Linked DNA regions of Lytechinus pictus. The protein of the gene in region 4 purifies or fractionates together with the protein of the main gene of each other region. This does not show direct contact. Links are inferred from orthologs where the notes say so. Each region holds a gene or a part of one and is shown on either strand. Other genes may lie near its edges.

Region 1 (7,481 bases), on a different chromosome or scaffold from region 4:
ATGTGTAGATAACCAGGGCTTTTAGTTCATTTGCCTCAACTCACATACTGTACATGTATGCAATAGACCAACTCCTGCTCTTTTCAAAGCATTCAAGTTTGGATTCAAGACTATCTACAAATGCAAAGGGCAACAAACTTTTCTCATGTTGTTCTGTAGGTACATATGCATAATGCGTTACGGGGAGAAAGACCTGGTGAAATGAATTAGGTTGTAAGCATTGTAACCTATATCTCTTGGAAAGATTTGGTTGTATTTGCTACATGTATGACTGTACTTGTAGACTCCATGTACACGGTATGTGTCATGTATGATCAGTATCTGCAAACTGACCTAATTCTGAAAAAATATAATTTTTCTAGGTGGGCAATTCCACAAAATAGTCAACCTTTTGTACGTCCAACCCCCATTTTCTCAAGTTTTATTTCACTTCATAAACCGACCAAGTCATGGTCATTTGAGAGCATTACAAACTGTCAAAAGAACAAGAAATCAGAGACAGAAAAATTCTTTAAAGTCCCACATATAGGGAGTCGGACGTACATATTTTATGGAATTGCCAAGGTACAGTTTTGTTACCCTTGTAAATTATAGGTCAAAGTTTCAGTTTTTCCAAAGTAATTTCAATACAAATTAGGTCAATTAAAATATTTATTTAAATTGTTGAAATAGTGCACCACATGGATGGATCTAGCTTTTCATAAATGGCAGGGGCGTGAATATAGTCGATTAACTTCAGAAATTTCTGACAAGTTGCTACACGCCCCCCTAAAAAATTATACGAAAGTAATGATAAAAAGTAATAGGCCTCATCAGTGGCAGACCGTGACCCGGAGGAGACAAAGCATTGGAGGGGCACAGCATTGTTCACAAACAATACAGTGCCCCTCCAATCATTGTCTCCTCCGGGTCACGGTCCGCAACTGGGCCTCATTATAAGGAAAAGTAATGATAAAAATGAATATGAAAAAATACTAAACGATATGAAATATACATGCAAAATAAAACATGGAATACACAACCTTCCAAAAGGATGCAATTTGTCAACCCGCAAAAACAAATGTAAAAAAGGAGGGCCATACTCGCATAGAAAAGAGTCACTCTTGACTATGTACAATTGAATTTGTTAAAACAATAAACCACTCTTTTTTTATGATTAAAACCAACCTGTCAGAGTGGACTTCCCCCTTTAATCTCCCACAGCAGGTAAGGTAATAGCAAAAAAAAATTGGCTTACCTCTACAATACTCCATCAAAATGAGGACTTCATAGACTCCACTGTTGCTGCGTGTGATGCTGGAATCGACATAGGGCACAATGTTCTTGTGACCCGACAGTGTAGACTAGATCAAGAAATAGAGAGAGAGAGCCGGAGAGAAAAATAGAGATGGAAAGAGAAAGACACCAGGAGATATATAAACATACATATCCAGAGAAAAAGCGTGAGAGTGACAGAAAGATATAGAGAGACAGGGAAAGATATAGAGAGACAGGGAAACATATAGAGAGACAAAGAAAGATATAGAGAGACAGAGAAAGATATATAGAGACAGAGAAAGATGTAGAGAGACAGGGAAAGATAGAGAGAGACAGAGACAGAGAGAAGGGTGGGGAGGGAAGAAAAACAGTTCAGGTTTCATGAAAAGACATTTCCCAAGATACCCAGGCTCAAGCTGTCCTGTTTGCCTGGAAGCACATACTAACAGATTTGCGAAACATTAATAGGCAACCCATTCACACTACAAGAAATTGAGGAGAAATTTATAAAGACCGAGTTTTGATGTACAATGTATGACTTTATCGAGCAAAGATATACATGTATCTGACGAAAATCAAGTGTGATTCTATTCAAACCCCCCCCCCCCCCCCGTTACTTCTTTCATGATGGCAGGTTTGTGGATTTTTTTTCTATTGATCCAAGAGTTTTTGCTCAGCATACAGTATAATAAAACATTCAGAGTAAAAGCAGTTTTGTTACGATAGCTTCTCCCTGAAATAAACATGTGGGTATAATAATAATTTCTTCATGTAATGATCAAGACTTGGAAATCTTTCAAACAGAAAAAAAGCAGTACAATTGAGGCCAAGAGTTTCATACACCCAGGAAATTCGAAGAAAAGTTGACACTTGCCAAACATCATAAAATTTATTGTATCTTACATGTATAAAATATTTGTGCTATCATGACGAATTTCACTGAATTCCATGGGTACATGTAAACTTTTGTCCTCAACTGTACATAACAAAATATTGTTAAAGTTTTCATAAGTTTACAAGAAAATTTTGAAGGAAAAAAAAAAATTATACCACGCTACACACAGTGTACAGGTAATCTCTGTGGGGGAGACTTTTTAAAAAGCCATGTTTGAAGAGTGTGGAACAGAGGATCTCTCATACGAAATGTGTGTGTAGTATTGCAAGATTTATATTTCATTTCATTCTGAAAAGATTTCATCAAAAATTTATTCAAATAAAAATCAAAATTTATACCACCTTCATTTTTTTGGGCTCAATGTACTGTCTGATTGCATATACATGTGCCTTTCAACTGCGCAGAATACTAGGGGGCAAAACTGTGTTTTGTGGTAAAATTGATTGTTCTATCATAATCGAATTAGTGCAACATGGCCCCAAGAATATGCACTTTTATGGTAATGGATTTTACTCGAGAGAGAGAGAGCAAAGGAAGAGAGAAATAATTTTTTTTTAAAGACCCGACAGTAAAGGCGTTTTCATTGAATTACATACATGTACATGTATGATATTGTTTTCACATCTTGAAGATGAGGAATCAACCATACTTTATGTATTATTGGCAGAAAAAAATGGAAGAAGAGAGGCCAACTTCTCCTTTCTTACCATGATCTTGATCTCTCTCTTGCAGACGACCAAATCCTGCTCGTTGTTGACAAACATCCTCTTGAGGGCGTAGTGTACTCCATTGCGACCTTTGACCAGGAAGACCAGGGCAAACCCACCTGCAGAATCAATGAAAAAGGGATAAAACCCTTTAATACTTAATGAGTAACAAGAAAACTGAAAACGACATCGCTATTAAAAGAAAGGGAAACTTTGTACTCATTTTTGTAAATGGAGATATGAATTTTTTAGAAATTAAAAATCCTATTGAAACAAAAAAACAAATCTTATTTGGGGCAATTACATGTACACACTATCAAAAGTATATGACTCATACTTCAAATAATCTGACTTTTGCTTTAATTTTGCTAATTTGAAAGAAAAAAAAAATCTTTTAAATCTATTAAAATCTTACTGGTTGGCTGACCTGGGCCCCGTCTTACAAAGAGTTGCGATCGATCCGATCAAACACAACTATGGACAGCCAGCAACGTCAACATCTAAAATTGCATGTTTGTTCAAAATATTTTCTAGAAATGATGTACATTCATACATTCACTGTTTTCTTGACAATTCAGTATGCTAGTTGTTTTCAAAAGACATTGAGTAAATTTCCTAAAGAAAAATTATGACATTGATGAATTTCCATATACTTGGGATTGATCGGATCAATCGTAACTCTTTGTAAGACGGGGCCAGTGCTCTGTACACACAAAACCAAACATGATCCGTACAAATGGTGGTACTAATATAATTTTTACCTGATGGCTATAAAAAGAAAACATGAATGCTTGCATACATGTAGCTACATGCAGCAATCAGAGAACCAAAGGCTTTTGTCCTGTCCGAGGGACCTGGTAATGATGGTAGCAGGGGGGGGGGGGGTACTTGAATAATAATTTGTTTGGATGTGCCTCACAAAACCTCAAAATGCAGTCTTAGAAAATGTAGGTATTGGGAACTATAATCTATTACTCAGAGAAAAACAGTGTCTAGGGAACTTCATATTCGTGTGCAGACTTCCAGGAAGACAGTATGATTCACAATGCATCTGTTATTTTCGGCGGCTTCTGTTTACAACTTACTGTATAAATCTACAATATTCACTTACATGTAGCTCATTGTAATGAATGGGGATTTTCCAGCGCTCTTTTTAATTGATTCGAGAGCTCTTTTTATTAGTTTCCAGGGCTTTTTTTATTATGTTAGGAGCTATATCGCTCTGATTTTCCCTGCAGTCTGTCTTTAGATGTTTCTGATGAAGGGCAAATAGAAGAAAGCTAAAATGCTTTTCCTGCGCTATCCTTTTGTTTCATCTCCGTCATATGAATTAATTTTGTGTTTTCTCTGAGCTTGGAAGCAGGCATTGTGTCACGTGAGTAAAGCATTCATACTGGCCTGGATAATGTGTGCATCAATACTGAACTACTGTACATTGTAAATGCATACTGTTTTTGATGTCCCAGGTATACAAACAATACATTGTACATTCCTTTTGTTTTGCCTCTGACTCTCTGTAACAAAAACATATTGTTTCACAGTTTGCAGGGGACGTTTACTACAGAAGTGGGATGCAGGCACTACAGTATATACCATGTACATGAATGTATGACCCCACCCCCACTTCAAGTTTGGCCTGTCTACTGTGCATTCCATGTTCTTTACTGCGCCACATTGTAAGCTGTCCCAGTCTAATAACAATACATTGTACATTACATTGCCAGGGTGGTGACTCATAACCGTATGCCACACACACAGGGTGTTTTCCTGAACCAGATATCTTCACTAACTGTATTATAAAAAAGATGACCTTCAGACATTGATCAGTTTGTCCATGTGATCTTGCAATATATTTGTAGATAGTGTGGAGATATTGGAGGATTTACATGTATATTATGCAACCAGCTTGCAATATTGCCCACGTAAGCCTAATTCAAAGACCTAAATTTATATTGCATCTATTGTAGACATGAAAGCCTACATCATACAGGGTACATACATGTACATCATGTAGTAATGTTTGCAGGGCTTGAATTATATAAGCCTAAAAAAATTGAAAGCTATCGATGGCTGTGGCCGCGGATACCCACTGACTGTCCTTGGAGATTTCTTGTGCCTTATTTTATTCCCCAACAATTGAATTTTCATTATTGAAATTTGCCTCGTGGTATTGTGGTAATGCCCTAAAAATATTGAAATCCCGTTTGTGAACATTACTATTCAGAAAACTTGATTTCCTAATTTCTTTCAAAACAATTTGGTAAACTAATAATGATTATGATACATGTAATAGAACAATGAATGCAATTGCACTACATGTACAAATATGTATGTCTCCAATAAAGTAACTTCTGAAAGTAAACAGAGCCTCAAAGCTTATTGAATATGTGCCGTTTCCAATGTTAATCCTTTTAAAAAGACTGAAGAAAATCTTTTAAGTGCCACTCTTCATGCTACTGTAAATGTGGTATGCATCTGTTGCCCTGAGCAGTAAGGTGCAATATTTTTACTATTCAATGCCTTGGTCAGTGAATAGCAAATTTGGTTAGAATATTCTGACATTGATCTTGTCCAGTGCACAATTATGCAGACAGATGTCTCCCCCTTGGCCACAAGTAAAGTATCTAGGATGCAAATCCTACATGAAAGCCATCAATACAGAAGAAAGGTTCTGTGGAAAGCGATTCAGTACACACATGCATCTTCAGTAATCCATTTTTTTCTGGATTTAGATTTACAGATAAAGAACAGAGTTCAGACAATTTTAGAGCTCACACACGTAGTACAATTGAATTAATAAACAATAGGCTACTTGTATCACTATGATTTTGAATCTATCCTAAGGCTCAGGATTTTCCTAAACATATTTGAGAATTATGTCTTTGTTCTAAATCTATTGGAAACAACCATGTGCCTGCCTATAATATATCTTGGCATTTTTATAAAATTGTTGGATAAATTTGAAAAAATATGTATTAAAAAAAATGTTTTATTTCAAAACATACATGTATATCTGGATTGGTGCTTTAGATTCATCCCCCCCCCCCAAAAAAAAAAAAAAAAAAAAAAAAATTGAGTGCATCTTTGTTTGGTCATTTCATGGAGATGATACTGTAAATTGCATTTTTAGACAATATATTATATGGTCATGGTGTTTTCTATTAAAAAAGTGCAACTTTAAAAAAGAATAAAGTGCTCTGTAGCTACATATCCACTGCTTTAAAGAGAACACCTGGAAAGGCTTTAAGGCACAACAAACCAGCTTGCCGGAGGCAAGTGAATGTGATGGGGGGACATTCTTTTTTTTCATTAAAATCTCAGATATGAGTTGTACATTTACATGTACCTCTGCTAAAAATAAGAAAATTCAGGTGTAGAGTGGTCCTTCCAAACAAGCATTAAACAAAAACAGAAGAAACAAACATGGATTTGTAGAGGCAAGGGCTTTAATTTGTTAAGTATCAAGTACTCAAACTTAATTGACACTATATGTTCGCTAAAAATTACCAAGAATGTATACAGTTTTAATTTGTCAGTATGTCAATACAGTTTGTAGCCTCCATGCATACGTACAATCATGAAAGTTCATCATCACTGTAGAAAATTTACCTCCTTATTTTAGACTATCCACTGCTGCCAGAATTTTAAAGGTACCTTATCTAATTTGTTGAGAAATTCACATGCAGATTATTTCTCGACACATTTTGTAGCCTGTCTGAGAACACATAAAACAGTACATTGACCTCATAAAATTTGCATTCATGAATCATTCAAAATTCGTGCACAAATAAACATGGTATACCATTAATCTTTGAATATACAGATTACGTTAAGGGTGCTTGTCATCATCTGTTTTGTGGGCCAATTAATCCTTTCAATCGCCTTGATTTTTCAAGTAAGAAGCTTGCAGGCTTCTGCCTGGAACAATTAAACTTCTCTTGCCAAATGTTCCATTCTTCTACGTATTGTCAAAGTCAGGTGCTACTGATCTGTATCATTTTTCTTCTTGTTTTATTCATCATGTATTAAAAAGTGCTTGAAGAATGGCTGTACATGTATAAATAGATTTTGTGTTTTAGTATATTTATAATGTTATGGTACGAGCATGCACATTCAGTGGCGTAGACAATTTCGTACACCTGGGGGGGATGACTGGGCTGCCAACGCTAGTGAGGGCGCGAAGCGCCCGAGCGAGGGAGCGAAGTGACCGAGCGGGGGGAGGGTGTGGGAGGGGGGTGTCGCCCCTCCCACGGTAGGGAGCTTTTGCAATTTTGAACTTGAAATCGTGCAATCTGATGCATACTTAATGAGGTAAAATAACACACACAAGCGCGCACGCACACACACACATACTCACACACACACACACCCTTACACACACACACACCCTCACACACACGGGTGCGCGCACCACACACATACTACGCCTTGAATGGACAGACATACATCGACAAGATCTACACACCGTGGCATACGAATACAGAATGGACTGACACATAGTATTGCATATTGAACCGCACTACGTATTTATTTATCTCTGTGAATTTTGCTGTTACACCTCTTCAGAAAAAAAACCAATGTCAACTGTGTACACGCAGGTATAGTCTTTGTTGTCTTGATAT
Region 2 (8,275 bases), on a different chromosome or scaffold from region 4:
CAATGACCATCTCACACAAGTTTTTCTTTAAGTTTTAAAATAATGAACAAGGTATATTTTAATTTTCAATCATCTAATATTTAATACATCATTTTGGAATTGGTATGTATTTTTTTTTGCATTCTATTTTATTATGTTTTACTGAATTCCTATTTAAAATTGCTTGATAACTATGTCACATGTACCTATTTAAATTGTAATTGTTGTTTTTTAATACCTATGAATGACTTTGTACACCTTTTGGCTGTGTAACATATTACTTTTTTTTTAATGTAGAAAGTTATATCAGCTCATCGATCCGAAATGACCTTCGATTTTAGCCAAGAAACCTAACAGTATACTCTTGTAAATTGTAAACAGTAATTGATGATTCATGTTAAACCAATATACATGTATCCATGTTCACCTTATAATGAAGACTTTGATTTCAAAATAATACAGTGTATTTAGAATTCAAGATCTTAGCTTTTCATTAGGTTTGAAGTTGATACCAGTTTACTGACCTCAACCTGACATCTGACCTTGGTCTAGTAAACTAAAATTACCCTCATCCATTTGGCATTTGCTGATACTTGTGATCATGAAATGAGGACTTAAAACTTTAAGAGGTGATTAGTCTTCATACTTCCATAACTTTCTTAATCCTTGTTCACATTTAAAATTGTCTTCTTTGATATTTTTGTACAACCTTGCTTGGATTAGACCTTTACAGGTAGATTTCTTTTATAATAGAGCACAAGTTACATGTATTTTGCATACAGATAACGATGAGCTTTAATGAAGTAATGCACAAGCAGCTGTGTGATAACAGCCGACTCAAAACAATTTGTATTTTTTCAAAATCAAGATGGATTGCTAAACTGTAATATTCAGTGTAATGAAAATTCAAATTTCTGAAAAATAAACAAATTGGTCTTTAAAACCTGTGTGGTTCTTCCTTAATCCCCCTCCCCCGAGCATAAAACAAAACACAAGCATCAACACATACATGTTCAATACAAATAATTTCAAATAGAAATACAACTCATGGAGAATTTGCATTCAAACCCATTTAAATTTGAGGGGGTGAACATATGCAACTTGTCATTCACAACAAAACACAAGCATCAACACATACATGTTCAATACAAAGAATTTCAAATAGAAATACAACTCATGGAGAATTTGCATTCAAACCCATTTAAATTTGAGGGGGTGAACATATATGCAACTTGTCATTCACAACAAAACACAAGCATCAACACATACATGTTCAATACAAAGAATTTCAAATAGAAATACAACTCATGGAGAAACATATATGCAACTTGTCATTCACAACAAATCCCTTTTCTGAGATGTTTACAAATGTACTTGGTTACAATAAAATATCATTCGATATAGGAAACCTTTTCATTTTTGCTGCATTAAAAAACATCCTTTCTCCTCTTCTTCTTTTTATCCTCTTCATCTCCTTCTCCTCTCCTTTAATCTCCTAGGAGATTTACACATAAAAAATGAGAATCACCTCTTCATGTATTTATAAGTTAGCATTCAAATCAACTGAAGCAGGATTTTATTATTATCTATCTTCTTTTTCTCCATACAACCTTCTCTTTTTTCATTCAAACAATTTTCCAGAATTCTATTCCATTATGAAGAGTTTAACACATACATGCTGTTGAGATTGCAGACAAAATTAAAATGATTTGACCAATTCTGTAGTCAGCAGCATCAATATTACAAACCAGTGCCACCATAGGGTGGCCAACCCAGTGGGCAGCAACATTGGATTTAAAATTAACAAAATATCATAATTACATTCTAATATTACATAGCAATACATGTATTTAAAGATAAATGTATATCTCAAAAGTCATGTCAAAGTCTAAGTCACATGAACTTGTCAAACATGGTGATCAAATACAGGAAGGCAGGATACAAATAATACAAGTAAAATTTTCTGCTTGTACATCAGAACCCCAGACCCCGGTGAACCTTGTATTACTGAATGCATAAAAAATAATTGCATGTGAAAACTTTCCTTCCAAAGCAAAAAAGGGGGAATTCAAATAGAAAGACAGTGAAAGATGTCAAAAGCATATTTTCAGTCTTTATTTTTTTTAGATAACAAAGTCAAAGAGCTGATTGATCAGTGATATTGTTGATTTTCAAACTTTTTGCACAGAAAATACATGTTTGCCTTTTCAAGTGAGCAATACATTTCAAATGGGAAGAGGGGTGCGAACGGAAAATGATTGTAAGAAGAAAATTGATTTTGGCTAATTTTTACATCTTATATTTTATAGAATCCATGTGTGTAGAGTTCTATTTGTGGTGAAATTTTAATATATTTATGAGAAATTATACTTTGACTTAAAGTAACAATTGAATGATTTCATCTCTATCTAAAGTATCTTCTTCTGACTTCTTGCAATGTATTTCTTTTCCTCCTCATGTTTCTACTCTTTCTCAAAATAAGTCAAAGCTCCCTGCCCTCTCTTCAATTTTCTCCTGCTCTGTAGATCTACTCCTCTTCCTTCCCCACCTCTTTCTAAATCTCTTCATCCTCCTCCTCTTTTTTCTCCTTTCCACCCTTCTTCTCCCTCCTCTTCTTGTTCTGCTTCTTCTTTCCTACATGTATCTTCTCAAGTTCTCCTCTCTCCTTCCTTTCTTCTTCTTTCCTTCTGCTTAAACAATACAATACACAAAAAGGTGGTCTGTACTAGAATTTAAACAGAAGAACGAGGAAAGAGCCAGGTTGACCTGAAATTGGCTGAATTAGGGTGTGCGGTGGACAAAGAGTGGGCAGGGCAGGTTTGCTGCCCACTGTCCGTCGGCCACTACCCCGTGAGTTCTCACGTGAAATCCGAACAAACGACAATCGCCTTTATTCAGCTCAACTCGCTCAAGAGACATGTGACGTCGAGATTTAAGTAACAATAACATTTATATAAGTATACATTAATGGTATTTAGCCTCATATTCCTAAAATATAACAATTCATAAATTGGTCGATTCCTCTTAATATTTATAATTCAAACTATATATTGAATAAAAAACAACTTTAATACTCAGTATCCTACCTGGCTGATCGACGGGAACGTAGCCATCTTGATCGCTCGGTCAAATTAATAAATGTGTAGCAGCGCCAGCTGCGGTGGAATCTCTACAGTCAGGCAGAATTGAAGTTGAACAACTTGGGCTCGGCTTAATTTAAATCATCAATTTGACCATGGATGGGCTCCAGTTTGGCGCTATAATTATTGCTGCATTAGGCACTATTTACCTCACGGGTAAAAGTGGTATGATGATGCGGTAAGTAAGTTACTGAGCTTAGTAAACTGGTTGCCCGAGTCGAAGGGTTTAAGATCCGCAGACTTTGTTGGAGCGCAGATTCAGTGCAGCTGCAGCCAGGACCGGCCCGGAGACGTTCGAGTTAGACACCGTACACCACCAGCTACCGAAATACCGGTACCACCAGCAGTACAGCCAGACAGCTCGGGCACAGGCCACAGCTCAGGCCATTGCCATTGGCCACTTGTAATTTAACTTCATGCAAAGCAATGTCATGTCAATGAATGCAAAAGTTTTATGTAGATCAAGCTTAAGTTAGTTGTTTGTCATGTTTGTTGGGATTAACTTAGTCTTACTCTTAGTCGGGATTACAGAAAAGATTAAAACTTAAGTTAAGCCCCGCTACCCTAGACCAAACCTGCCAAAACCAAAAGCTTCGGTCTCTGTTATGTTGGTTGTTCAGCTGAACTCCGTTGGCTTCACTCACCAAATACGAGGAGAAATAAACAAATTAAAAAAAGTTAAAAACTCCTCGAAACAGACGGCTGCCAGCTGTCTACCGCTACCCATGCCATGTTTATTATTTTTTAAACTGAACTGAAGCCATAAAATTGAAATTGAAATACACGTCTTGGAGTTGGACTTGATTGAGAACTTGGGTTCTGAGACTGACGGCGTGTATGTCATAGATCTGGATTGGTGAAAGTTGAAACTGCGAGGTTTAAATTCAAACTAAACTTTCTAAAGAAAATAATTAGAATAACATGACAAGTTATGCTAATTGCTCTGCATAATTGTTATTGTGACGTGACGTGACATCACAGACAAGCAGCTCTATTAATAAATTCCACAAAATTGTAAACTAATTCATTTTCTTAATAAATCGATTTTGAAATTTTTAGGTATATTGGTATTTGTGGATATTTCATCATATGCCTCCTATAAGAAAATAATTCTTTTAATATTTCATTAACCCTTTGCGCGCTGATGTTGCAATCTAACACATCCGTACAATTACTTTCAAGTTTCAACAATCGTAATAATTAGTTTTAGCTGCTCATATATGACTTCACAAATTAAAAACTTCACACGCTGACTAGATTTATCTCTCATTCTTCGATGGATTTTCATCATCCCTTAATACCATTAACAAACTTGTCAGCAGGGTCAACTTCCCCTTTATTTAATTTTGTTTACCTTTACAGATCTATGGTATGTGCTTCATAAACTTAAGACAACAGTCAAATCCCTTCTAAAATAGAGAAATCAATAGAACTTTATTTCATTTCATTTTAACAAGTCAACAGAGGTACTAAGGGCTGAAAATAAAATCTAAGTAAAATAAAAAGTAAAATTCACCAAGCAAAATGCTGAAAACTTTAGATAAAAGTTCAGCAATATTTTATGAAAACTGTCAGATACACACCTTCATAAATATTCATTACATGGGCTAATGAGCTACTTTCCTTTTTCTGTATTACAAGAAATAATTATTTTATATTTTCATACATCTGTGTATGATGTCTCCCTTGTTAGTTGTAGCATTTTGACTATAAGGCAAAAGAGATTTGACCATGCATGTGATGATAGCACATCATTTCCACTTCTCAACTTCTTTTTTTTTACTGGAATACCAGATTCTGATTTTTGAAAGATAAATCTAAATCCTGCTTTTATTACTCAGCCATACTAATTGCATGTACATTCATTCCAAAGACTTTTATTTCTCTTCAAACTTAGAAAACTTCAAGAAATAGCTACAGGCAAGGCAGGATGTGTGCCGGCCGAAGACCTTGGTTTTGTCACCATACACTATTTCGCTGGTCGAGGTCGAGCAGAAGCTATTCGACTCCTGCTGAAGCAAGCCAATGTACCTTATAATCAGACAGACTTTACCCGAGAAACTTGGCCTGAAGCCAAGAAAGCAGGAGTAGAACAAGGCCTATACACCTATGGACAAGGTAATTTCATATTTTCCTCCCCCACCGCTTAACTCCATTCAGCATCAAAATGTTTTGATATTTTTTGGAACTCATATGAAGGGTATAAGGTGCAATGTGAACATGTTATTCTCAAAAGATCTTTGTTATTTTATTGTCATTTTTTAATATTGGTTAACCCTGATGTGTCTCCAGGGCTCGACTTTAGCGGGAGCCCGGTGGCAATTGGCTCCCTAAAACCTTGGCGGGCTCCTTAGAAAGTAAATCAAAATGCCCGGCTTGCTCCTTAAGTTTTTCTAGTATCAGCCAAGAAAGTTCATTCATAAAAACAGTGAGTGACCTCGTAACTGTCAACATTGAGCCTGTGTTGCTTGGTTACAATGGTATGTCCCCATGGCAGGGGTCATTGTATGAGCCCCTTGGGCATTCCTAGTGCCTGTGGCTGAGTTTGATGTAAACAAAGATGTCTATTTTGAAATAATGGATGAGATGAATGTCGATTTGAGTGGAAATTGAATATGCAATGAAACAGATTGAGCAAAGGATGAAAATATCATATTTTGCGAAGGTTCTGAAAGAAAAGTGTATTCCTAGTCAGTGGTTAAATGCATTTTCAATAGTTTTTGTCATTTATTTTCCTCTCTGCAAATGATATTAATTATTGCTTGCTCAATCTGTTGAGCAATATTGAAGATTGAATGAATATAAATTTGAACAGACAAGCTAGGAAGAGTGACTTATCCTGTGCTATATCTCATTCTGATAAAACCTGAAGTCCAATGTTAGACTGTTACTGTAGCAAAAGGGCTTCACAAAAGTCAATTGCTGTAAGATTAATTCTTCAGTTCAGTTAATCCTCACATTTACTTAATAATAATACACCTGGTATTGATGATTATAAAAACAAGGAATTGTGTTGGTGTGTTTTAATACTGACCATTGTTATGACCCCCAAAAAAATGTGATAAACTTGGGCTCCCTGAACCCCTTGCGGGCTCCCTAAAAAAGTGGTTGAGGAGCCCGGCTGGCTCCCTAAAAAAAAAGTAAAGGTCAGGCCCTGGTCTCTGATTTCAAAATGATGATAAGATGTTGAGGAGATGGAATGCTTATCATCTACTTGTATTGTAGTCTTGCAATGAGTACTGGGGGATGTTTCACAAAGATTTAAGTATCACTTAGAGTCGCACTGAAATGTCTAGTTGTGCGCGGTACAAAGGCATGCCCGCATTGGTCAGATCCTGCCAAAAGGACGGGCACTACTGCGTATTGATCAATAAGATTGCGCGTTGCATATCATGTACGCGTCTGTATTTAAGTGCGACTTTAATAAGCCATACTTAAATCTTTGTGAAACACCCCCCTGGTCAGGTTAACCTTTGGAAGAAAATACCATTCTGTTAACACTTGATAGGTTCCTTCTATCATAATGGAGAATTTTGTTTTAAAAGGAGATTGTGACCAACCATCTTAAAACCAACATTAAAGAGAAATTCCAGTATTTGCAGTAAACACTGATTTCATGAGAAAGTCTGTAAAACAAGGCTTAATTGTCAGTATATCATCGAGGATCTAGATCTGGTACAGTTACATAAACTGAACTTTGTGAAATCTTGAAATCTACGCTGAAAAATGTTCACACTGAAGATCACCAACACAGATAGGCACACGTGGGACAGTGTATTATTATTGCTAAAATAAAGACCCGACGGAAGTGACCGAATCCGCGCTTATTTTGCTTATTTCTCAGCAATTACACAATTTCTTCCAGAATCCTTTGGCACATATTTTTTATTCATACAAACAGACACTTAGGTGGTCATTATATTAGATTCTGTAAAAAGTCATTTTTAGATCGTTACCAAAACTGGAATTTATCTTTAAGTCGCCCAAATTTAATTTTGAGAATTTCATTGAGCTTGAAAAAGCACATCCTAAGCTTTGAAACAATAACTTGTCAAATTGATGAACAGTAGCCCATTAATATACTTGATTAAATGTAGAAAAATCCATTGATGATTCAAAGAATAAGGAGAAATCAAGGTTTGAAGTTTAGGGTTCACTCAAGCATGAGATGTGCACTCTGTGTGATCTCTGTGAAACTACCAAGCAGTTCGGAAAAAAGAAAGTGTTGTATATCATCTTTTATATCCTACATAATTTAAATCATGTATGCTGATTGGTTTTAGCATCACATGACCAAACATATGCTCACTCGTTTGTGATGACGTTGAAAATGAAACGCCCACTGAAGAAAAATTGCTATTCCGTGATGTCAATGATGGAATAGTGCACTATTTTTATAGCTATTTTTATTAGTGATCACTTACACCCCGCCCGCTACATAGAAAATAACATTGCCTCTTCATACACCTCTCTTTCCTATGTAGTACCTGCTATTTTGACATCATCAGGTGTATCTATGGTCCAGCAGCAGGCCATCCTTCATTACATTGGTAGGGCTACAGGAATGGACTGTGATTGTGAAGATCTCCATCGCTGTGAGGTTCTAGCTCAAGGAGTTGGTGAGTTGGATCCCAAAATTATTATTATTATTGTTATTAATTTATTCGGCAGATAATACAAAAATACATTTCAGTATTAGCAATACAAACTAAGAAATATCAACCATTGGAACGCCAGGGACAGTAAAAGTTAACTGAATTCTGTGGCATGAAGCCTACCAGTACTGTCCCAATTCTAATGGTTGATTTACAATATATATTAAAGGTCAAGTCCACCCCAGAAAATCGTTGATTTGAATCGATAGAAAAAAATCAAACAAACCTAACGCTGCAAATTTCATCGAAATCGGATGTAAAATAAGAAAGTCATGACATTTTTAAGTTTCGCTTATTTTTCACAAAACAATTAATGCACAACTCAGCGATATGCAAATGAGAGAGTCGATGATGTCCATCACTCACTATTTCTTTTGTTTTTTATTGTTTGAATAAAACAATATTTCAATTTTTACAAATTTGACAATAAGGACCAACTTAACTTAACCATAAACTGTTAAAATAATGGTAATTCCACATGTTCAGGGAGAAATAAAACGT
Region 3 (7,595 bases), on a different chromosome or scaffold from region 4:
TGAATATCTAGGCCCCATCTTACAAAGAGTTGCGATTGATCTGATCAATCACAACTATGGACGGCCAGCAACGTCATCATCTATTATTCATGTTTGCTCAAATATTTTCTAACTATGATGTATATTCATGCATTCATTGTTTTCTTTCAAATTCACTATGCTTCTCTTTGTTTACAAATGACTTTTTGCAAATTTCCTGTAGAATAAAATTATGACACTGATGAATTTCCATAGAGTTACGATAGATTGGATCAATCGTAACTCTTTGTAAGACAGGGCCCTGGTTACCAGCAGAAGAGTGAATTTTAAAAAGTCAAATGAACATGTGTGCGCATTTGGAGGTGTAGTAGCCACATGGTCCGACGTTCACATACAGATGGTCGAGGGTTTGAATTCCAGCCTTCAGCAAGAAATTTATCAATTTGTGCTGCACTCAACCCAGGAGAGGTAAATGGGTACCTAGCAGGATTAACTTCTAGAATGCACTGAGCGCTGAATGTAGCAGCTCAAGCAAAAGCTGGGGATTAATACTAATAGTGCGCCTTGTAAAAGATGATACCTACATGCATTATGATGCGTAATATTATTATCATTATACCATTATCATCATTTTTACCATCATTATCATCATCATTATGAAGCATCAACATAGAGCTGCTCTATAGTTTTTACTAGATGACATACAATAAACTACTAGGTGCACTTTCCATAACTTTAGTTACAGGTTAAACCACACTCAACTCAGGTATTAACAACTTAATCTACGAATTTCAAAATGGAACTGATGTTTACGCTATATGGGATAATGAAATAATTTGCTACATGGTGCTTAAAGGGAATTCACTAATATACACCTTCACTGAAAACAAATGATGTTCTAGGCTTCGAGCTCTGCAAAGAAACAATGATGATTAAATTAGTAGAAAACTCCACAACAGTTTTTTAATTAACCCACGTCAGGGCTGAGCTTATCATGACTTACAAATAAATTAGGGAAAGGAGCAGAAGCGGCATCATTACGAGGCTCTTAGCAAAGATCATAAACAGGAGACAAGGGCTCACAATTAACCGTTGCACTCACTTACCCAAGCTGAGAATAATTACTGGTAGATTTAGCCAATTTGCTGACACTCTTGTGGTACGTATCCTCGATAAGCGACCTTGATAGGAGAAATAGAACAAAAATAAAATAAATCAATTGAATTGACGGAGTCAAGGTTTTATGGTATAGGCGATATATTTCAGTTTAAGGAAACCAAAACCCAAGAAGAGATGCAATCTTATTGGAAAAAGTAAAATGAGAGGATCAATTTAAAACAAGTTTCATCAAAATTGGTGATAAAATATTAAAAAGCAAGTTATGGGTGTTTAAAAAGTCTTGATGTACTTTCTATGGGGATCCACTTGGCCACCATGCTTCAGAATCGCAGATTTTGTGGACAACTCTCTTTTTGTTTTGTGTACAAGTTTTCAGTTTTTCCCCATTATCTTTCAAATTGCATCTGCCTCCTTCTGAGCATAACATATGTCATGGGAAAATATAATTCACATCGTATCATGTCAAGGTCAGGAGGAAATAATGTGAAATATGTCAAATAAAGAGGAGAATCTGACAATTTGTGAACAAAATGAATGGAGAGTTGTCCACAAAATCAGCCATTTTGAAGCATGTTTGCCAATTTGAGGATCCCCATGGAAAGAACAAGACTTTTCAAACTTCAATAACTCGCTTATTTTATAACCGATTTTGATGAAACAAGTTTTAGATTGCTCTTCTCAATTCATTCTTTCTGATTAGATGGATTCTCTCCTTGTGTTTTGGTTTCCTTTATTAAGAGTCACAGTGTATAGTATTCTGAAGATTTGCATCCTGTCTGACATTTCCAGCATAAAAACTAAAAAAGAAAAATGTCCATGTACATGTACCTGTTCAAAATCGAGTCAAATGTACCCTTTTTATGAATCAAAGTCCAATTATTTACAGCAGGGGTGAATTCCTCCTAATTCAGTTTTTGCTGATAAGTACATATCATAAATGTACAATCATGAGTACAAGTACACATATTTTGAGAGGTAATAAACAGCTTTCAAATCGCCATGACTAATACCCCTTTCATAAACCCATCCTCCAATTAGCCGCCTAAGAGTAATGCGGATAATTCAATAAAAATTGCGTTCACAAACTCCGAAAATACTCCGCACTATTTTTACGAGCGCCCGTCCTGAAAAAGGCGGATAATCGTAATGACAACTGCACACGCCACCTACGATGAGGTTGTGTTGGAAAAGGGTGACCTTGTGACCGCACCATGGCAATTATCCGCATTATTTGAAAATGCGTTCATAAAGTCAAAATCTGGTCCCGATGCCGCTATTATGCGGATAATTGCAGCATAAAAATAATGCGGATAACTCTGGTCCTCCTCCGATTTTACGACCAAATTATGCTGCTATTAGCCGCATAATTGGGTTTATGAAAGGGGTATAAAATCTGAACTAACACAAACAATACAGAAGAGTTAAGTAGCAGAACACTTTCCATCATGTTTAAAAGATGGAAGGTGTGTCTGAATATGATATTATTTTACATCAAATATTTCAAAAAGTATTTTGTCATGCTCAACTCCAACAGCTGTGTGGTGACGCGGGGTGTATGTACATACTCATGATTCACATTCTAGTGTGGAAATTGTCTTAAAGAACTGTATTCCAACTGTTTTGACCATTGACAGAAAATCGGGGCATGTTCCTGCTTTAATACATGAAAGAATATTGCACCTGGCAAAGCCTTTGGCTATGACATATGATCAGTTGGGTATCCCTGCAGATTCAAGCTGAGGTCTTCAAGATGTTGTAATGGATTTAAATACCAATAAGCCTTGCCCCTCCCCCAACAATAACCTTTTTTGCCCGAAAATGGTAGAGATATTGAACTGACTACCAGCTTTATACAGAACGAGGCGAATAAAGCAATCCCAAATTTCCGCTTCTTCTTATCATCATATATCTCTATCTAATCACATCCCGAGAAGTGAGGAAATTGCCTTGTGTTTATTGCTCAATGGAGTTCCAACGAGTCTGCGGTTGGAGGAAGTTGAGGAGAAGGAAGAGGAAAATGGCTACCTGTGATAAGATACTGGTCAAGAGTAATCAATGCTGAAGGACTGTCACTTGGGTGATCACTGGACCAAGTTGAAAATTACTTTCATGTTCATGAAAAAAATGGCCAATTTGAAAGATTTAAGCTAATTTAAAAAAATGTATGTTGTCTACAGTGACGTGACGCTTTCACACTAACCTATTCTGGAAAATACAAAATTTTTTTTTGGGGGGGGCACTATTAAGAAAACAAACGACATGTAGGCCCTACTGCAAATGTTCTAAAAAGAAAATTAAACCTGCAGAACACATGTAGTAGGCATATAGATAAACTTGCATTTAAAAAGTCAGATTCTCTCCCAGGTCAAAAGTAATGTCTTGGACTGGATCATACAAAAATTGTGTTTATTCTTAAAATTTCTCTGAACAGTCAAATTAAGGGCCATTTTATAAAGCTGTTCGTAAGTTAAGAGCAACTTTAAGAATGACTGGTGATCATTTCTTGTGGTTTTCAACATTAAATTTCATTTAGTGATTATTTAGCATGAAAGAAAGGTTCGAAAGTCGTTCTCAAAGTTGCTCTTAACTTACGAACAGTTTTATGAAACGGCCTCCTGGGGGGTGTTTCACAAAGATTTAAGTATGACTCAAGTCGCACTTAAATGCCGACGCGTACATGATATGCAACGATCTGACCAATGCGGTCAAGCCTTTCATACCGTACGCAACTCGGTATTTAAGTGCGACACTAAGTCATACTTAAATCTTTGTGAAACACCCCCCTGGTCCCAAAAGATCTGACTTGGCAAATTTAGTCTGTAAATATTCAAAACTACGAGAACTTTTCCAGGGATTTCTAAATAGAGAATTTGGGCTCAATGTAACGTGAAAGATAACTAAAGATACTTTATCATAGCAGGGAGGTGAAATGAAAAAAAAGGAAGTGGGAAAGTCTCACAGCCCACATAATAAAACCACAATATCTGGTTAAGACACAAGTATGTGTTCACATTTTATTTATTATTCATACTTATTTTCACCAAAAAGTACATGTATATGAAATACCATAAAGTCATAGGCCAACTACTGTAGTTGGCAGGCCTGTACTTATTGCACGATATGGTTCACGTCTCCATGAGGAGTCTGAACACACCTTATCATGACTCTTCTTTTATTATAGTTTGTAACTTTGTATTTATCATGTATGGATCATCATGTCTTCATGAGGAGTCTAAACACATCTTCACGTCATCACACTTCTTTATTTACCTTTATATCTGTATCAGATATCTTTTAATGAGACTTGTGTTATACGACCTAGATCTATCACATGACCTATTAAACATAGGACAACTTCCTTTTATACTCTGATCAATAGCAAAGATATATTACACTTCGGGGTCTATTACATCAACAGGTAACTTTGCCTAGTATAAAGTAAGTCAAATCTATTCACAATTCGAGAAACCTGTATATAATTATAACATATAATGTTTTGCCTAGTAATTTGGTCTACAGAATTGTCTTACATTTTTTTATTAAGTTTTTCTGTGACTTTAATATGAAAGGTCAATTATGCAAGTTCACCTGCATTTTTTCTCAACCAAGTGACTGAGTCAAGAATTTAAAATTACATGTATAAATACTATAATGTTAATTTCATATAAATGCATTTTTTTTGGCATACATGTACATGTTGGTATATATTGTAATATGAATGTTGGAAATAGAAGATAAAAGTTCCTTTTTTATCAGGTATGAATAATAATAGAAAACACATCAAAACATTGCACCCTGGGTAAGGATCCAATTTTGGTCTTGAGCTGGTGTTGTTTGAAGTGGTTGTGGTGTATACTGGCTTTAATTTCACTTTTCTAGTATCTTGCCCTGTGGGTGATACTTAGTCTGCTGTGCAAACCCTTCACTCGAGTAAAGGGTCTGAATGTGCAGCCTACTCATGCCTTATGTACTGAAGGCCCTCTCACTCAGGAACAGCAAGTTTTGTATATATGTGCTAGTCTGCGTGTTGGCACACTTGTTGATCAAAGTTGCAATCAGGGTCTGTGCCTGCGGACTAGGTGATACTTGCGGTTATTGATTTTTTTTTTTAAAGTGTCTCAGTTTTATGAAGCCCATATTTAACCCCATTCCTTGCAAGAGATACTATAAAACTTCAATTACATAGCCTATGTACCATCAAACTCGAACAAAGCTAGGAATGCTTTCTGTCTGAGATTGGCAACTGCCCATTTTAATGGATTCAAACTCACGCTCCTAAGTGCCAAGAACATGAAATTTAAAAATTGGAAGTAGAGCGTACATTTTCAACTTCTTGAAAATACTCTCAATCAATAAAAATTTCCTATTTATTTCAATTCTTGCAAATAAGCCTGGAACAAAACAATCAAATAAAAATGTTGTTTCTTATCATAGCTACGTGTATGTCAGGTAAAATCTGGATTTTTGTTCTAATGTATTACCAGACAGATCTAAAGTAAAGATTGAAACCCCAAACAGGTTTTTTTTTTTAAACAGGTCTGATTCACCAACAGCTTTTAAAATCAATCCTTTTAACTCTGTATACCAATAAATTACATAAATATTATTTCACCTCACTTTAAAGGACAAGTCCACCCCAACAAAAAGTTGATTTCAATAAAAAGAGAAAAATCCAACAAGCATAACACTGAAAATTTCATTAAAATCGGACGTAAAATAAGAAAGTTATGACATTTTTAATAAAGTTTTGCTTAATTTCTCAAAACAGTTTGTATTGCACATCCTGGTGAGTATGCAAATGATGAGATTGATAACGTCATCCACTCACTATTTCTTTTGTATTTTATTATATGAAATATGGAATATTCTTTTTTTCTCCTCATTGTCAATTGAAACAAAGACTAATTCCTCCTTGAACACGTGGAATGAGCATTGTTTAATACTATATGATTCAGTCAAGTTGGTCCCCTTGTCAAATCTTAAAAAAATTAAATATTGTATAATTCAAACAATAAAAAACAAAAGAAATTAGTGAGTGAGGGACATCATCGACTGTCTCATTTGAGTTGTGCATATTACTGTTGTGAAAAATAAGCAAAATTTTTAAATGTCATAAAATTCTTACATGTATTTTAACTCAGATTTTGGTGAAATTTTCAGCGTTTTGCTAGTTTGACTTTTCTCTATTTATTCAAATCAACATTATTCTGGGGTGAACTTGACCTTTTAAATTGATATCTAAATAATGTGAAGCATCCATTTTTGGTTTGTTTTTTGTTGTGTTTTTACAGATGCTACAATGGGTTTTCTGAGAACCTACATTCTTTTCAAAGGAGTACATCTAGTGCTATTTTTGTTTCTTTAATTGTAATTCACACCATTTTTGGAGAACATCTTTAATAGTAACTCACATATTTTTTCACAAAATTATTGTCAATAATTAGAATACCGTACATTTAAGCCACTGTGTGTACAATGTACACATATACAATATTTGGACATTTTGCTTGTAATATATACACGTCTAGATTATCACAGAAATTGGGTATTCTCAACATGACATTTTATACATGTATGATAATTCTCTCTGTCTGTTTGATAGAAATTGCGTCTAGGCCATTCTCTTGCTGACTGTGTCTGTCAGTGCTAATACAGTGACTCACTCCTAAGCTTATCTCATGCACAAATAACTCGTCTGCGAACGAACGAGACCGCTCTTCAATAAGACTGAAAATTACATTTGGTGCGTTTCCTGAATTTTTATCAGAAAGATGCACTGCCTATTTTAATATACAAGATTGTACATGCATACTAGGACAAACATGTAAATATAAAGCCTGAAGATTTTAATACTCATGCAGGGCCTTATAGTACGATGTCTGCAATTTTTCGCTCTTCTCCTAAATATGCACTTTTGTTCAATGGCAATGCACAGGATCATTGATCTACTTGTACATGTACATGTACATGCACTGTATAGTATATGACATTACAATGTATGCCTGTTTGCCAAGTGAGTTTTGTGCCATTGATGCAAAAGAAAAATAAGATTCGATCTTCTTCACATGCATTCTGATTTGTCAATATCTCATTTATAAAAACTGATCGTGATTTTTTTTCTCTGTAGTATTTTATGAAGTCAATATTAAGTCAATATAACAATAAATGCCTTTTGAGTAAATAACATGTACAAGTAGGCATACATTGTAAATGGTACATGAAAACAGGTATTGGTTTGAAGAGTGGGTGCTCTTCAGATCTTTATCAGAATGTTCATTGATATTTTAATACTTGTTGGCCACTTAAAACAAAATTCTGGAGTACTTTTAAAGGTATACTGTAGGTAGGGATTTCTCTGTGTATATTATACAAAAAATGAATGTTTATGAGTGCAATGGACAGAATACTTCATGAGGTAAAAGATGAAATGATCCATTCAACAAGGCGTAGCCGAGTTGAATGGATCATTATTTCATCTTTCACCAAATGAAGTATTC
Region 4 (7,553 bases):
ATCAATAACAAAGACTTCAAGATGGCGACCATAACAGACTGGGTAAGTGAACTCTCGTGCTCTTAAATTTCTTTAAATTTCACACTATTTATTGAGAAAAAAATTAATCAAAAATATCAAATTCGGGGGTAACCCAGGGAGCCCAGGGGCTTACCGTGTATTTGACCATACTCACGGGACTAGGGTGATTTTGGTCTAAATATTTCTCCAAATGAATTGTGAAAACAGAAAGTATACAATTACCACGATTATATGGATGAAGGTCTAACGAGTGGCAGTTTCCTGACATCTGGGCACAGACTGGAACCTCAAAAAAACGAAAAGTTCTCTCCTTCTACCGGTGGCCAGGGGGGGCAAGAGCCCAAAATTTCCCGGTCATATCATGGTATGAACAGGCGTAATGGTGTAATGAGCTTTTTGATACAAAAATCCAATTTTGTTATAGATTTTGACATGATATCCAGAAAATAATATATTTTACTCTTCTCTCTTTAGATTCCATTTTTGTGGTCTGTACGCCACTGTGAACATGATTCTTTGCGGCAGTAGCGTGAAGAGTAACCAAAAAAATGTGAGGGGCGCAGTATAACACATGTGCTAAAAAGCTGCTTTTTATAAGTCCCGAGCAAGCGAAGCGAGCGAGAAAAAATCACCTTTTCATGAGAATCTAACTTTGAGCTATTTTTTCACATTAAGTTCAGTAAATTAAATCATATACTACACTTTTCCTTTGATTTTCTTTCCTCCTGTTTTTGTTCTTGTCTGTAAAAATTTTTGGGGCCATGGCCCAACCCTTCCATACGCAGTACTGTGCGGTTGGGGTCTGGGGCGGAACCCCCAGAACTTCTTGATATCAAAGCCATTTAAACCTCGCAGATTGCCGCCATTTTAATCAAATCGCGGGCATATACAGAATGTAGCTTTTACACAACACATTTATTTAACCCAGTTGCGTGATGAACCAAATGTTTTGAGGGGCAAAACTTAGCAATGTGGGAAAAATTTATAAAAAGTCGCCAGTGTGCAAAGCGAGCTGGAAAAAAATTGCCCATTGAAATTAAATTATAATTATGTGATAGATTTTTCCATTATATTCAGCAAATAACACATTTCATTGGTTCCATTAATTTCATTATATGTTGTCTCCTATAATTTATTTTATTTCCTCTTGGGTGTGGAACCAAGACCCCCCCTCCGCGCCGGTATGCCAGTGGTTATTGAACGTGGATGAACGGGGGGCGTTATATGAAGGTTATAAATGAAGAGCCCTTACTACGTGGGGTCAGGAGCAAGACCCCGGAAGCTTATTTGCATAAAATTTAGCAAGCTTATAGCACAACGTTGTATCCAGTCCATCTTTCTTTCTTCTTTTCTTGTCCCTTTTCTTTGTTTTCCAATTTAGCTTTTGACTAATTACATTCTACCTTCGTTTCCCCCTATTGTTTGCCATTTTGTCATCTTTTAATTTATTTCCCACCGTGCTTTTGCATTACATAGGCGTATTTCAGAATGATTTGTTCTCAAATGTTCTTTCGTACATTTTCCCACTTTCCTTCCTTTTCCATTAAAAAAATGTTTTTTCTTCGTTTCTTTTCCCTTTTCCCTATACCTTTCCTTTTCTTTCTCCCTCCTTTTTTTCTTTTTCCCGTTTTTATTTTATTTTCGCGATTAAATCCACCAGGGGGGCAACTTGCCCCCCCCTGCCCCCCCCCCCCCCGCCTGTTACGCCACTGCCTTCTACCCCCGTCTCGATCGGCCATTTTTGTTAAAAATCGTAACAAAATGGCCGATCGAGACTGGGGTAGAAGGAGAGAACTTTTCGTTTTTTGAGGTTCCAGTCTTTGCCCAGATGTCAGGAAACTTACCGTCATCCATATAATCGTGGTAATTGTATACTTTCTGTTTTCACAATTCATTTGGAGAAATATTTAGACCATAAATCACCCTAGTCCCGTGAGTATGGTCAAATACACGGCAAGCCCCTGGGCTCCCTGGGTTAATTCGGGGGGGGGGGGGATATTGTTTTGGCCCATTTACTTTAGTTCGGGCTCAAAACGATTTATACAATCTGTGATTTAGATCTACTGTAACCGTGGGAAATCCTAGCCTCTACAGAGAGGAATGATCCCTCGGCTAGCCAGGCGGCTTCTAGCATGTCTAGAGAGTAAAAATCATTTACTAACGTAAGGTTACTCTCATACGAAGCCAGGCAGTCCTCCCCATTCATCTGCGTGTACCGCAAGAAACCCTGAAACTTTCGCCCCCGAGATTCCTACTTTCCTTCTAAAACAAGATCTAGCTCTAAATCATGTAAATGGGATAAAACTTCATTTCCGACATTTCTACGCTCTCGTTGTTATTTTTAAAACAAGAATTCATCAAAAAAATGAAAAAATATTGTGAAAAGACGGAAGAGACTTGCCCGATGTTTACGCCGCCATCTTGTTTCTTATTGTACTTAGAGCTAGATCTTTTTAGAACTTAGATTTAGAAGAAGGAAAGTAGAAATCTCGTGGGTGAAAGTTTCAGGTTTTGGCTTCCTAGCTTTGTGTGGGTCTATGAGATAGAAGGCCTGGCTTCGTATGAGAGTAACCTTACGTTAGTAAATGATTTTTACTCTCTAGAAGCCGCCTGGCTGAGTAAGCCTACATATAGTAGATGACTTTTACTCCCCAGATCCAGAAGCCTCCAGGCTAGGTAGGCTACACAAAATCGAACGTGTGGGGCCATTTAATAAAATCGGGGAAAATAAAGTTGGCAAATACTTCAACAGAGCAATCAAATTTGGACTAAAATTAATGTAAAAATAACTTTAACCGACATCAAACAAGAAACTATGTTTTGTAATGTCCAAAACTACCACAAAAGAAGACAATTACCATTATTCTTTCTGCTCTGTCAATCGGAGGGCGTCTCGGAATCAGTCCGGAAATGGAAAGGTGATTGATTACTTTGATATGGGGTACGGTACGGTTCTGTACCATGCGAAAATGATTTTTTTTTTTTAATAATCTACATTACTAGTGTCAATATTACTCCTTAGTTTGAGAATGACAAAATCGATACATTTAGTAGTTAAGCAGTCGAAGATACCTGCTATCATCAATCAAATATATAACTTTTAAATAGATGCCTATTTTGCATTGGAAGTTTTTAACCTCTAATATAATGGACTCTTCCTATCCAATTCCCAGCCTCCGAGTTCCCCCCCCCCCCCCACGGCCCCGGCCCCCTCCCCCTTTCTGGTGTACTACCGTGCGAGCCGGTGCGAGCACTAGCGAAGCCGGGAAGCTAGTTCAAGCGCTTGGCCCCGGCGCGGCCGGTGTACCGGCGGATCCTGCGCCTGGCAGATACTGTTCTAGGCACCAAATCCGCCGGCGGATATGGTTCTCCTCCGGCGGATTCAGTACCAAGAAAGGCCACTCTCTTCGGAAGATATCGTTCTTGCGATATCCTTCATTCACATACGTCACGTGGTACGAGAAAACTAGTCAAAAAGCGGTAGATTTCATCAATTAAAGCTTGCAGAAAAATATATTCATGATATCTCTATGTGATAGAAGTGAAGAAATAAAATGCGTAATCTGAAAGGGGAAAATAACCCATTTTCTTGTTACAACTCTACGGGAATTACACCACTTCTAACACTACATGACGTCACGGTCTCGGTGCGAGGCCGGTGAAAGCATATTTACAAGAAAGTATATTTTCGAAACCTGATAATTGGAGTTATTCTTAAGCAAAATATTCAGCTGTAAGCGATGACTGCATAAAACTTGCATTTCTGTTTTTAGTTTGAATTAATAGCTTTCGATTTGACTGATTTGTCAACTTTTGGGGTTTGGTCTGGGTCTTTAAATAGTCCACATTTAGTCTTCATTCAACTTTCAATGTCTACTGCACTACTAGTATACAAAGAATTTACCCCATGATATGATAATGCTTGTAGTCTAATAACATGCATTTGTTAATTTATTTTATACCTATTAATTTATTGCAGTATGAAAAGTCCTTCTTATCACAATTTTGGGGATAAATTGGGCACAATATGCATCAATTATGATTAATACAGAGTATTAAATAAAGACAAACAATGGCAGTTTCGATAATTAAAATCAGTATTTGTATAAATTTGTATAAATAATGATCACTGCAAATGAAATTCTTGAATTACGAAATTACAATGTATTATTATTATTTCCTCCACATTTTCTCGTATATTTTTTCTATTTTTCTCTCCCTCCCCTTCCTCTTTATATTTCTCATTTTTTGTGCTATATTACCCTCGCGTATACGCCCCAGATATATTCATAATGTGCAAGAACGATATAGGAAACTGGAAAAGAGGCAAAAGGGGCGAAATGAGCAGGGACAGAAAGAAAGGCAAAAAAAATAAAGAGATGAAAACCAGGAGGAGTTAAGTAAAAGAAACAAAAGATATAAAGGAGAAATTATATTTCACTAAAGATCCCATATTGATCTTAAAATTTGATGACTGAGAGGTAAATTAGGGAGCACCAAACAGTACGTGGCGTATCTAACTTTTGTCAGGGTGATCTTCCGGTCCCCTTCAATCATCATCATCATCATCATATCACCGTCACCCTCACCTTTATCATCTTCATCTTCATACTAAAAATATTGCATGAGTTGATGTTTCGTATTTAAAAATATATATGCCAATTCTGCTTTATAAATGCATAAATTAATTTAATTAGTTTTAGTTTGGGATTGTCATTTTTCTTCAAGCAATCTGCTTATGATGACAATCCTTCTCCTGCAAATTGTGAATATCATATAATAATTTGTTAGTTAATCATTTTTGTCTGGAATAATTTTTTTAGTACACTTTATTTATGATTCATGCCAAAAATGCTAACATAATATTATGTTTATTATGTTATGGAAAATGTATTATACGAATGTTCCATGGATGCAGAAAAAACAATAAATCAAATCAAATCAAATAAATTAATTCAGATTCCTTAACATTGAAAAAAAAAGAATAAAAAAAAAAACAAATTAAAAAAAATACATGAAAATTTAAAGATAGGCCTTCAATAAACTACATAAGAAATTAATCATGTTCTGACATTCCTTTTATGTTTGTTAGAAATAAAAAAATTTTGTTTTCACCAAAAATTAGCATTCTACAAGCAATAATATGAGTTAACAGCAAAAAAAATATTTTCATACACTAATTTGAATCATTTATTTGAAATATGAAAATTTTAACTTGTTGAAATTTTTCTAAAAATTTGTAGTTTCAAAAACCTATAGGCCTATATGGGGGTGCAAATTTTCGCCAAACAGTCTGGCAAACTGACACTAAACATGGTGTGAAAAAGCACAGTTAAAGAGATCGATGCATACTGCGGACTGAAAATAGTATAAAAATTCACAAAACAAAATGATGAAAATTTCATCAAAATCTTATAATAATAAATAGCATAGTTGTATGGTGTGTCAGCTAGGTCTACGTAATACATATCGAGACATTATTTCTCCTATTAATCCTCACCCCCATCGAGCCCTTTGTCAAAAGCTGTATGGATCCGCCCCTGAATAAAAATTCACTAAAGGCGGACGAAAATCCCCCCCTGCGATCGACATTGCCGAGCCGCGCATGCGCGCGCTGCCGAGGTTGTCTGTCCAAATCAATATTACACGTATAATCAATAGAACCAAATCCGCCGAGGAACCAAATCTGCAAACATCAAGCCGCGTCAAACCCGGCGGATATGGTTCCGATTAAAAACGATATCGGCCATTAAGAACGATATCTGCCGGCGGATACGGTATCCGCCGGTGGAACCAAATCCGCCGCTACACCGGCCTCAATCGGGTAGTAGACCCAGCAAGGATCCGCTGCTCTGATCTGGTGCGTATCTTCGAGCACGTGTTTCACAGATCTATGTTGTAGTCGGCCGATCATCCATCATCAGTCATATCATGGCTGCTCCTCACATTGAAGATTCCAAAACACGCGTGCGGCTGCTTGAACATGGAGTTGACAATGTAAGTAGATTTAGGGCCTAATATTGATAATAATATACTGGTAAATATTTTTATAATGAAGCCTAACGTTAGGCCATACCGGTACTAATACTATTTTTTGGATAAGATTTTTAAAAAATCATGGTATGATTTTTGTTTCTAACGACGTTACAAATACAATACATGTTCTACTAATTTTTCAGGGAGAAAGACGCGGTATTATCTATGGCGATGTATAAGACTAAGAGGATAGATATCTTCTCTTCCAACTCATGGTGATAGCGGATGCCGCCGTGAACTTTGAAAGGTCTTATATTACCGACGGAGCTCACTAGCACTGCGTTACTCTCTTACATCGTTTATGATTAGGCCTATATACATTTTATTTTCAACCTCGTGGTGATAGCGGATGCCGCCGTGAACTTTGAAAGGTCGTATTACCGACGGAGCTCACTGCGCTACTCTCTTACCCCCTTTATAATGATATAAATCTTCTCTTCAACCTCGTGGTGATAGCGGACCCCGCCATAAACTTTTAAAGACTGTATGATGGGGGGACCTAAAGCTACGCACTTTGTTTTCAAACAATAAAAACTATCCCAATTTTAATATTTCAACAAATATCTTTCACTAATTTGTGGCAAACATTCTAAAGATCATTAAAGGAGAATGAAACTCTTGGAGCAAGTTAGCTTTTGTGAAAGCAGAAAAATCAAAGAATAAGATCAACAAAACTTTGAGAAAAATAGGACTAGCAATAAAAGAGTTATGAGCATTTGAATGTCGAGATCACTAATGCTATGGAGATCCTCCCATTGGCAATGCGACCAAGATCTGTGATGTCACACACGTACAACTCTCCCATTTGGACACTGAAAATATACCCCAAAACATCTCTTTTTGCTCATTCTAATCATATATGACAAACGATTCATCAATGATATAAACATATTGTTGAAAGTTTGAGGAAGATTGAATGAATAATAAGAAAGTTATGAGCATTTGAATATTGAGATCACTAATGCCATGTAGATCCTACCATTGGCAATGCGACCAAGATCTGTGATGTCACACACGTACAACTCCCTCATTACTTTAGTACTTATTTTACCTATATTCTCACTTTATCTATCACAAGGTGAGGTGTTCTCTTTATGAGAGGACAAGTACATAGGTTTCACAACATTATATCATTGATGAATCGTTTGTCATATGATTAGAATGAGCAAAAAGAGATGTTTTGGGGTATATTTTCAGTGTCCAAAAGGAGAGAGTTGTTCATCTGTGACATCATAGATCTTGGTCGCATTGCCAATGGGAGGATCTCCATAGCATTAGTGATCTCGACATTCAAATGCTCATAACTCTTCTATTGCTAGTCCTATTTTACTCAAACTTTTGTTGATCTTATTCTTTGATTTTTCTGCTTTCACAAAAGCTAACTGGCTCCAAGGGTTTCATTCTCCTTTAAAGACTGTACTATTGACGGAGCTTATTGAGTTACTCTCTTACATCGTTTATGATGATATACATTTTATTTTCAACCTCGTGGTGAT

What was found.
Region 1: the proteins of AP-2 complex subunit sigma (region 4) and BMP-2-inducible protein kinase-like purify together in Homo sapiens (affinity purification with mass spectrometry; 4 studies listed by BioGRID and IntAct, counting the BioPlex papers as one, with this or other methods). This does not show direct contact. The link is inferred for Lytechinus pictus from reciprocal best matches to the Homo sapiens genes AP2S1 and BMP2K.
Region 2: the proteins of AP-2 complex subunit sigma (region 4) and epidermal growth factor receptor substrate 15-like 1 purify together in Homo sapiens (affinity purification with mass spectrometry; 4 studies listed by BioGRID and IntAct, counting the BioPlex papers as one, with this or other methods). This does not show direct contact. The link is inferred for Lytechinus pictus from reciprocal best matches to the Homo sapiens genes AP2S1 and EPS15L1.
Region 3: the proteins of AP-2 complex subunit sigma (region 4) and F-BAR domain only protein 2-like purify together in Homo sapiens (co-immunoprecipitation; 3 studies listed by BioGRID and IntAct, counting the BioPlex papers as one, with this or other methods). This does not show direct contact. The link is inferred for Lytechinus pictus from reciprocal best matches to the Homo sapiens genes AP2S1 and FCHO2.

What each region holds. Positions count from the first base shown.
Region 1 is NC_087262.1:11,854,570-11,862,050, reverse strand, and holds the start of BMP-2-inducible protein kinase-like, read right to left. Parts: upstream 3,528-7,481; 5' UTR 2,917-3,527; coding exon 2,860-2,916; intron 1,344-2,859; coding exon 1,238-1,343; intron 1-1,237. UniProt on the Homo sapiens protein: May be involved in osteoblast differentiation.
Region 2 is NC_087255.1:17,855,449-17,863,723, forward strand, and holds the start of epidermal growth factor receptor substrate 15-like 1, read right to left. Parts: upstream 3,122-8,275; 5' UTR 3,093-3,121; coding exon 3,066-3,092; intron 1-3,065. Other genes in the region: glutathione S-transferase P-like, read left to right, coding at 3,215-3,297, 5,017-5,237, 7,604-7,738.
Region 3 is NC_087255.1:23,487,863-23,495,457, forward strand, and holds the start of F-BAR domain only protein 2-like, read right to left. Parts: upstream 3,360-7,595; coding exon 3,355-3,359; intron 1,161-3,354; coding exon 1,086-1,160; intron 1-1,085. UniProt on the Homo sapiens protein: Functions in an early step of clathrin-mediated endocytosis. Has both a membrane binding/bending activity and the ability to recruit proteins essential to the formation of functional clathrin-coated pits.
Region 4 is NC_087251.1:7,257,588-7,265,140, reverse strand, and holds the start of AP-2 complex subunit sigma, read right to left. Parts: upstream 3,386-7,553; 5' UTR 2,985-3,385; coding exon 2,880-2,984; intron 1-2,879. UniProt on the Homo sapiens protein: Component of the adaptor protein complex 2 (AP-2). Adaptor protein complexes function in protein transport via transport vesicles in different membrane traffic pathways.